Linked DNA regions of Arabidopsis thaliana. The protein of the gene in region 2 interacts with the protein of the main gene of each other region in a pairwise test. Each region holds a gene or a part of one and is shown on either strand. Other genes may lie near its edges. The genes, in order: AT3G15800 and TOPP5.

The links.
Region 1: the proteins of TOPP5 (region 2) and AT3G15800 interact in a protein complementation assay, tested with the Arabidopsis thaliana proteins (one large-scale study listed by BioGRID).

Annotation. Positions count from the first base shown.
Region 1 is NC_003074.8:5,342,973-5,347,852, reverse strand, and holds AT3G15800 (Glycosyl hydrolase superfamily protein), read right to left. Parts: upstream 2,865-4,880; 5' UTR 2,803-2,864; coding exon 2,290-2,802; intron 1,866-2,289; coding exon 1,548-1,865; intron 1,234-1,547; coding exon 865-1,233; 3' UTR 706-864; downstream 1-705. Other genes in the region: MBD11 (methyl-CPG-binding domain 11), read right to left, coding at 3,467-4,168, 4,582-4,644.
Region 2 is NC_003074.8:17,241,046-17,246,067, reverse strand, and holds TOPP5 (type one serine/threonine protein phosphatase 5), read left to right. Parts: upstream 1-1,786; 5' UTR 1,787-2,075; coding exon 2,076-2,280; intron 2,281-2,802; coding exon 2,803-3,362; intron 3,363-3,447; coding exon 3,448-3,621; 3' UTR 3,622-3,631; intron 3,632-3,938; 3' UTR 3,939-4,366; downstream 4,367-5,022. UniProt on the Arabidopsis thaliana protein: Serine/threonine-protein phosphatase that possesses phosphatase activity toward para-nitrophenyl phosphate (pNPP) in vitro.

The DNA.
Region 1 (4,880 bases), about 12 Mb from region 2:
TGATGTTACAAAATTATTTGTGCGTTCTAAATTTATCGATACATGTTAGAAATTTTTTAAAATTATGACGATCCAAAATCTATCAGTTGACCAGATTAGATGTGTTAAAGATTTAATTAATTATAAGTTCGATTGATAAATTTTTATTTATTGTGTTAGTTGCAAAATGTTTCTATCGAAGTACTAACTTTTTTAATATATAGGAGAGATGTAACGTGTATCGTACACATGTTTACTGCCAAGTGGAAATTGAATCTCATGAATAATTTTATTAGTGTTAGTTGACACAAGATCAGAGAGTGCGTAGGAATATTAATACATAAATAGAAGGTGGTCGAATAAGATTTATAAGAAAACTATATAGGCATCTAATAAAGAGAGAAGATATATCTTGACTAATGCACTCTCTAGATTTGATTCGTTAACGTAATCAAAATTTTCATGCTCACGTAAATACATGGTTGATAGCTATATATACCAAGTAGACAATGGACAAAACAAATAAAATAATTTTATAGTTAGAACAAATACTTGATCAAAATTTATGTGAGTACACAACATTTAAATAGTTATGTAGCTAGTGATGTTTTCATGTGATTGAGTCCCATCAAAAACTCACATATGCAGCTTATGTAATAAACTTTTTCTTTAACTGTTTTTGACTTGGGATGAAATATTTAGAGAATAATGTAGAAAAATCCAACATTTACCCTCACTAAACAATATCATTTCAAGAAGACATTACACAAAGTAATTAGGAGCTCGTATATTAACATTTTAAAGTTAAAAGTGACTAATCACAAGCAAATCAAGAATTACGGGTTAACTTGATAATCAAAGGACCAATTAAAAAAATCACAAATCTCACAAGTGGAACAACCGGTGAAAAAGAAGAAGAAGACACGTGAAAGCAGAAGCGGAAACAAGAGACGACTTAAAACGATACCGTGTGGCAGAAGAGGACTTGAGTCCGGTTAAGCCAATATCGTAGGCAATAGTACCATCGGGTTTAAAAAGGCCAAAGTTTCTCTCGGAAGTGGGACCTGGTTTCGAGTTCTCGTTGAAAAGAGCAAACACGTAAGCTCTCACCACCATGTCTGGTCTGTACGGTGTTCCTTTCCTCTTCTGCAGCCGCTTCCTAAGATTCCGATTATATGTTCTCGCGTTCTTTACCGACGCTCCAGGCTCGTCTGCATCGCCTTTTGATGCCCATCCCGTCTCCGAAACAATCACCTAGGTACAATTAAATGATTAAATCAGGTTCGCATGACGCTTTTAAATCCGCGTACGACAAGACATGTAGCTTAGTGCATGTAGTACTGATAGCAAAAGATAAAAAATGCATGTTACTGATAGAAAAATAAAAATGCATATAACGAGTCAAATTATTCAGTTGAAACTCATATAATGCATGTTTTTGACCCCAAAAAAATGTCTTTAGTCTAGTTTGACATTTACGTTTGTACTTTGCAAAGCTTGTAACAAAGGGAAAATGTTAATGGAAACCAAACAAAAAAAGGGTTGATAGTAATAAGGATCGGACGTACCGGGACTTTTGTGTAGCCAGCTTTTTCGAGAGCAGCATAAGAAGCATCGACCATGGCGTCGAACATGTTATCGTAATGAAGCTTGGTTTTAGGGTCCAAGATGCCTTTGTTGTGCTCGAAAAGGGCGTAATTGATGTCAATTGTAATCGGGTCGGATTTATATGCAAGAAAAGGGTAGGCGTTAATGTAGAACGGCGACTGAATTTGCCAAAAAAACGCTAACAACGGCTTCATAAACGGCGCCACATCGTCCCTGAACGTACACGAAGACGGTGGATACGAGTTCGCAAACACTGCCTCTGAATGTGGACTCGACACCTATAAACAAATATTGAATGTTTTAGGCTAAATCATCATTTAAGTTCTAAGTTTGATGTCCTAAAAATATTAGAGATGATTTAAAAAGAAAAAAATTCAAAGAGAAATCCAAATTGATGCATGCCTACTAACGTATCTTAGCTGGATTATGATCGACATGGTCATATCATTAATACAAACTTCTGTTACTAGGTTAATAGATTTATATATTTAAACTGAATCATTTTGGGTTACAAAAAAATGATTGATCATTTTGTCTGTAAGAAAATTCTCAACTTTACTCGGAAAAAAATAATGTATTTATGAGATTTAACGTTGGTTAAACGTGCAATCTTTTAAAAAAACTTTTTCCAAACAAAATAAGCAAATTCGAGATGTCATGGTTTTAGCGACATGTTTGGTATGCAAGATTAAGGTAATGTACCTCGACGACATTGTGAAGACCGAGACGGCGAAGAGCGGAGTAAACGTTCTTGGCTGCGGGTAAGAGAGCTTCCCAAAGCCCGATATCGGTGCCACCTAAAATCTCGTTACCCACCGCGATACCGCTAATTTTAGTACCGCCTCGTATGAAAGGCTCGACGTTTTCTTTAATCCAGTTCATGGCTCGGTCTTCTCCTACACTAATGTCTTTGAGAAACTCGTTGCCTAAGCCAACGATGATTTCAATCCCGGTCCCGCGGAACGCCGTGAGTACAGAGTGGTCAGCATCGTAGATACGGGTGTTTCTAATCTTTGCTGATTTAAGGAGAGTTGCTACCGCGTCAGGAGACGGAAGATTATCCGCTATGCGACCGTAGTTTACACCATATGTTCCGATGAATGCTACGGCCGTTTGTGAAGAGAGTATAGAGAAGACTAAGAGAAACGAAAGGAAGAAAGAAGAGAAAACCATATGTGAAGTTGGAGACTTTCGAAGAGGAACACAATAACCCATTTGAGATACTGTCTCGAATGATGTTTTTGAAAACAGAGCAAGTTTTTTTTTTAATCCTAAAATGGGAACAATAAGAGTTTATACTATGAAGTTGTTCCTTAATAGAAAGATTCTAAACCCTCGTCCCTGGGACCATGCAAAAGGATGGAATCAAGGAAATAAGAAAACTAACATTGTAAGTCTTTCTTTGCATTAGATTCTTACTTTACTCTCAAAGCAAAACTTTTACCTTTTTCCTCTTGTCTTCTTCTGCTTTCTTCCATTTTTTTATTTGGGTTTCCCATTTTATGGCGTTCAAATGAAGATTGAACCAATGATAAAAAGAAATCTAGAAGATTAATCTATGTGTGGATCTTTAATCTGACTTGTTCATAACTTGATTGTCCATCCATACGAAAATGACTAAAGATTGTAGCAGAAAGATAAAACATCAAACCTAGTGATTGCAATGGTTTTAGAGAAGAGTCAATAATATATCCTCTACATAACCTTACAACCAAACAGAACTTGCACATATCTCATAATACATATCTCAGCCTAACAACACCTTTCACCGCGATAATGCTCCGAGTAGGAAGCAAAAAGGAAACCATATACTTCAATAGATTGATAGAAACAACTGACTTACAGTTTCATGAGCTAACAGAAGCAGAGCAGAACAGGGCTATCCGGTAGCTTCTCCTTCTGCTGTTTTCTCTTTCCCCTCAGCTTCTGTGGTCAGACCATTTTCTTCATGGTTTCTGGTCTCAGCTTCAGAATTCTTCTTCTCATCACTAGCTTCAACGGTCTTCTTCTCTACATCTACCGAGTTCTTTTCGATTGAGCCAGTATCTTTTTCTTTGTCAGTCTCCTTACTCTTATCATCAACAGAATCCAGAGCTTTCTCCTTCATCGACTCACCCTCTTCTTGAACTGGAGCCGCATTTGGAGTTTCCTCAGCAACAATGTTTTCTTTTGCATCATTCACCCTCTCAGTTTCACCGGAGCCATTCTTATCGGTCACATTTTCATTCTCGGCGATTCCCTCTGGAGGATTCATTTCAGTATCTTTCACATGAGAGTTTTCCTCTCCTCCTCCCTCTGATTTCTCACCTTCTGCATCTTTCTTTGACACTGGAGATTTGGTTCTACCTCGCTTCTTGGGTGGCTCTTTATCTGGTGACGGCGTAGCCTTAGTCTTCTCACTGATTCTTGCAGATCTCCTAGGTGTCCCACTAGTCGTCCAATCAAACTCTGCGATCGCGGGGTTTCCAGGGTGCGATTTGAGATACTGCTCCAGCTGCTTTCTGTTACTAATCTCCTCACCCGTTGGAGCCACAAACACAACCTCTGTTTTCTTCACTGAACCCACTTTGTTGGGGTAAAACTGCAAAAACAAGTCAGTTAATGTAAACCTCTGAAAATATGAAAATTTGAGGTTCAAAACGCTGAAAGATTAAATTCTAAAGAAGACCTTAATGTAGCTTAAACAATGTTTACAAGTGGCTTAAAATCCATAAGAATCGGGAAAAGTAAGAAGTAAATCAAACATAGTCAAAATGAGGCATTAAGTCAAGAACAAAGAAGTAGAAATAGTAGATCAAACACAATCAAATGTGGCTTTTTCTAAGTCTATAACCTTTGAATCACCTAATCAACATAAAGTTATTTACACTTATACTAACATTTCGCCACCAAAAGCTACCATATTCAGAGTCTTCAAAGAAAAAGATTTGGTAATTGCAGCACTACACATATACAACAAATTCTAAGTCTTTGTATGAAACAAAGAAAACAAACCAATTTCTTCCATGAAGAAGGTGCTGGTAGCTCAACAGAAACAACTTCCTCTTCACCACCCATCTCTCTCCTTTCCCTTTAGCAACCCCTGAAAACAAATTAGAAAGATCAACCACAAAATGCCAAGAAAACAAAAACAAAAAATTTAACAATTTACACGAATGAAGCAACAGACAACCTAGGGTTTGATTGTCGGAAAGCAAAACAGAGTTTAAAATTTTAGGGATTTTGCTCTGCTCTTCTTTTTCTCTTTTGCTTAACACTATGGTTTTAGACCTTTTTTTACTACCAGAAACACA
Region 2 (5,022 bases):
GAAACCGATAACAAAAACGTCATTGTAGCCCAACTTGCAAAAACTAACCAATTGCATGCATGAAAGAGTTTATAATAAATCATGGAATTTTACATTGTCAACGTGTGAGGTTTTTCTTTTTGGACACAACCCAAAAGGCCTTTTAGTTCTAAATTGTTTCATATTAGAAAATTCTAAGTTCGGAAATGCTATACATGAAAATTCTTGGTGATTTCTAATGAGCAAAATAACATGAAAATTCTTGGTGATCCATTATATATATTTATGCGCCGAGAAACCATTCAGAGAAACAATAAGGAAGATAGTAAAACCTCATCTTTCTAATCGATAACTTCCATATCCTTCGATTAAAAGCTTTTGATCAATGCATAGTCCAAACTTTATACTCACATATACTCACATACCCATAATTTAGAATTTAGATCTCATTTAAATTGATAAGCTATTTTTGTAGTTATAAAATACATAAACCCATCCAAAATATTATCATTAAGACAAAATATTAGAATAGGTATATTAAAATAGAATAATGAGAGATAACATTTTTAAGAAATAAACAATAAAGAATCAATGCATAGTAAAAATGAATTTGTTATCTTGTAAATACAATATAATTTTATCGCCTGTTTTGAGCCTTCTTGCTTCTATATTATTCCACCCTGAGCACATAAAATATTTATCATGGTCTATTTTTATTGTTACCCAGTAACTCTTGTTATTCTCTAAAACTTCCACTTGAAGACCACTTGGAGGCATTACAAAATTTTCTATAGTGCGTAGTATCTTCTCTATCTGCAATTTTGGTTAATATAACCTACCCATGTGGGAAAGATCGGTGTTTGTAAGAACTTTCTCTAACATTTTATTTTGATCCATATCAAGCCAAATCACTATTTTACTAAACTCTTAACAAATTTAGAAATTTTAAAAAATGTTTGTAGAAAATAAAATGTTTGAAGACTGGAGCTCTACACATATGTTTATATATAGTTCTCGGCCAAACCAATGTGCTTTGTCTTCAAACCCTTTAACAAAAAAAAAATTGTGCTTTGTCTTCAACTTTTAAAAAAAAAATGAAAAAATTAATTTGTCCAAAAAAAAACTCTAAATGTAGTCAATTATATGGATATATATTCTAATTTTTGTAATATTAAATGAAAATATTTTCTAATATGTTATGTTTCTAAATTTTTACACTTGTTACCAACTTGAAGATTAAACTAATTATAGTTTTTTTCTAACATCAAATTAATTATTAAGCAAAAAATTTCTTATAACAATCTTACTTTTTTAGTCATTTTTATTTTAAATTTCTTCCAAAATTTAATAAAAATCGATTACATTCTTTAGAAAAATAAATTCAGTTAATACTATCAAATTGTATTATTTCAAAAACACTTAAAAATTGCACACTTGGCAGCTTATAGTTTTCGATTGATGTACTTTTTACAATAACTCTTTTTTAAAAAAAGTTTATAACATCAACAAGAAATTTAGTAATTAATGTTTAATGAGATTTTCTTTTATAGATTTTTTTCATTAAACTTTACAAGTCGACCATGGCATTGTCCCTATGGGATCCACTAATATTATAAAGAAAATCTATACAAATTAACCATGAATTCTATATAAACCTTTTTTTGTGAATATATTTATGAAGTTTGTGAATATTTAATATTTTTTTGTTTGACCTAATAATAACAGCAGAAATCGACGTCGATACGAAAATATATATATATATATATATATATATATATATATATATATATGAAAAAAATGAAAATGTGTCATTTATCTAAAACGAAAAAAAAGAAAAGAAGAGAAGCTTTTTTAGTTCTCTCTGCCCAATGGAGAAAAGAAGAACCAGAGATTGCCAAATCATCTTCTGCAAAAGCACCCATCAAAGAAATTACTTGTAAATAGAAAACAAATCATCAAATCTGGAAGACAAATCATTAAAAAAGGCGACAACTTTTTTTGGTTCAGATTTTGAAAATTTGATTTTTTATTTTTCTTATCTTGGCGATCGAATCCTATCCGAAAGATTGAAACTTGGGAGGTGGGTAAGTGAGTGAATGGCGCAACAAGGGCAGGGAAGCATGGACCCTGCTGTTCTCGACGACATCATTCGTCGTTTACTTGATTACCGAAACCCTAAAGCTGGGACCAAACAAGCTATGCTCAACGATTCTGAGATCCGACAGCTTTGCTTTGTCTCTAGAGAGATATTTCTTCAACAGCCTTGTCTTCTTGAGCTCGCTGCCCCTGTTAAGATCTGCGGTATTTTACTTCTCTCTCGATTTATCAGTTTTTTTCCTGTTTGGGATCTGAGATTCTTCAATTTTCATGATTGTGTAATGAAAAAAGTTTGCATTTTTCTGTGAGGAGATGAGCTTAGATCATTAAATTGGACCTCATGAGGTTGAATAATGTTAAGCTAAAGGAGCAATGTATCTTTTTACCAATTGATGTCACTTAATAATAGATGTCTTTGTTGGGCTTACCCTGTTCATGGAGTCTTGGAATTTGCGTAAGAGAATCTAGTTTAGTCATTAGAATGCTAATGGTAATAGAGCTTGTATGGTCACGTGATAGGAAGCAAGTTCTTCTTGATCTTTTCTTATGAAAATGCATTGGTTTCTCTGCTTGTATTCAAACACCATTAATTATGGTTCTTATGGGTTCATAGGTTGATGTGTAACATTTGTCTTTAGGCGATTGATAGTCTTGAAATCTTAGAGACTCGGTTTCTGGTTAATACCTAGGTTGATGTTGTAGCTTTTTGTCTTTGTATTGTTGCAGGTGATATTCATGGTCAATACTCAGATTTATTGAGGCTTTTCGAGTATGGAGGTTTCCCTCCTGCAGCAAACTACTTATTCTTAGGAGATTACGTTGACCGCGGAAAGCAGAGTTTGGAGACTATTTGTCTTCTGCTTGCTTACAAGATCAAATACCCTGAAAACTTTTTTCTCTTAAGAGGAAACCATGAGTGTGCATCTATTAACAGAATTTACGGATTCTATGACGAATGTAAACGAAGATTCAACGTGAAGCTCTGGAAAGTGTTTACCGATACTTTTAACTGTCTCCCTGTGGCTGCTGTCATAGATGAAAAGATACTTTGTATGCATGGTGGACTATCTCCTGAGTTGATCAATGTGGAACAAATTAAGAACATAGAGCGTCCAACTGATGTTCCAGACGCTGGTTTGCTCTGTGACCTTCTTTGGTCTGATCCTAGTAAAGATGTCAAAGGCTGGGGGATGAATGATCGTGGTGTCTCCTACACTTTTGGTGCTGACAAAGTTGCTGAGTTTTTAATAAAGAATGATATGGATTTAGTCTGTCGTGCCCACCAGGTTAGTACATTGTATAAATGTTTCCTCTAGTTTTTTTGTTTGGGAAATCGAATCTGCTGCTCAAGAACCTATAATGCTCCCACAGGTTGTAGAGGATGGGTATGAGTTCTTTGCTGATAGACAGCTTGTGACTATGTTTTCTGCTCCAAACTACTGTGGTGAATTTGACAATGCGGGTGCATTGATGAGTGTCGACGAAAGTTTAATGTGCTCTTTCCAAATTCTTAAGCCTGTGGATCGGAGGTCGCGGTTCTTTTGAAGAGAAAGAGGTACAGATTTGAGTGTTTCTCAAAAACCGTTGAACTTCCTCTTTGTTTCAGAATCTCAGCTAGCTATATCAGTTTCATCTGCAATATTATAGTTAAAGTTCATGCATCTCATAATAAGTCCATAACTAGCTTTCATCGAATCTCATGTTTCTTAAATTTTCGATTCTGATAGTTGCTCATTCGACTTACAGCGAGTCAAAGAGCTTTTAAAAGTTTGTTTCGCAGTTTCCATGTTTCATCTTTTTTGAGCTTTGAAAGCGTTGTTGCTCGTCTGAGCTCTTACAAGTTCACAAATTTGCTTTTGCAGTCCTTCTTAAGTTATAACCCTGATTCAAATCTTATGGGAAGAATGGGAGGAGAAAAAGCGACGACGGATGTTGGTGGCGGATAATTCTGAACCTCCACGAGTAGTCTCCGAAGTTGCAAAAGCAACAATATATATATTTACATGGTTATATCATCTCTGCCACTTCTTTTGAATATGATCTTGTTTCTTCAACTCAATTTTTTGCTCTGTTTCCTTCTCTGTTCTTTCACATGTCAGAGATACAAATCCTCTAAGTGTATATAATACTTTATATGTATGTATCAGAACCTCACTGCAGGATGCTTCAGTTCATGATTCTTATTAAAACAGAGGGTTCTCTAGACACTAATTAGCAGCAGATTTGTAATTGTGGCTGTGGTTTTCTCTAATTGACTCCACAATCATCGCATGTATACGACCACTCCTTAACATATATATTTACCTAAAAAGATAATACTATATTCTAATCACCCCACGCTGGCGATGCTTTTAAAGTTCAATTCATTACATACTCTATAGTCTATGTTATCGTTATTGAAATATTCAGATCACCATGCCCTACGAAATCAACACTTTAAATTAAAATGTTAATAATCAACGTATAAAATTTATTCTGACCGTTAATAAACTGTTAATAAAGTATCATAGAGAGCCATTCTCACTTTGAAAACGTTTTACTATGAGTATATGGTGTCGAATGGTTAGGCTATACTAACCAAAACAAATGGAAAGTATACACATAGTAATGCAATTGCAAATATATATTTTAGGCTATAATAAGCAAACGTTTTCAACCCAACTTTTGCTCTGCTTTGTTCTCATTCTCTGTTATTTCACATGTCAGAGTAGATACAAATCCTCTAGTGTATATATACTCTATGTGTATGTATCAGAATACTGCTGTCACTGTAGGACGTTTTTGTTCATGGATTCTTAGTAAAACCGAGGGTTCTCTAAACACTAGTTAGTAGCAGTTGTAGCTGTATTCTTTTTTAAAGGGCTTTGTTTTATCTGTCACATTGCAAACAATGACGATGAGACAACCCTAATGGAGAACCTGCTGGAGCACATTTGGTTGAAACCC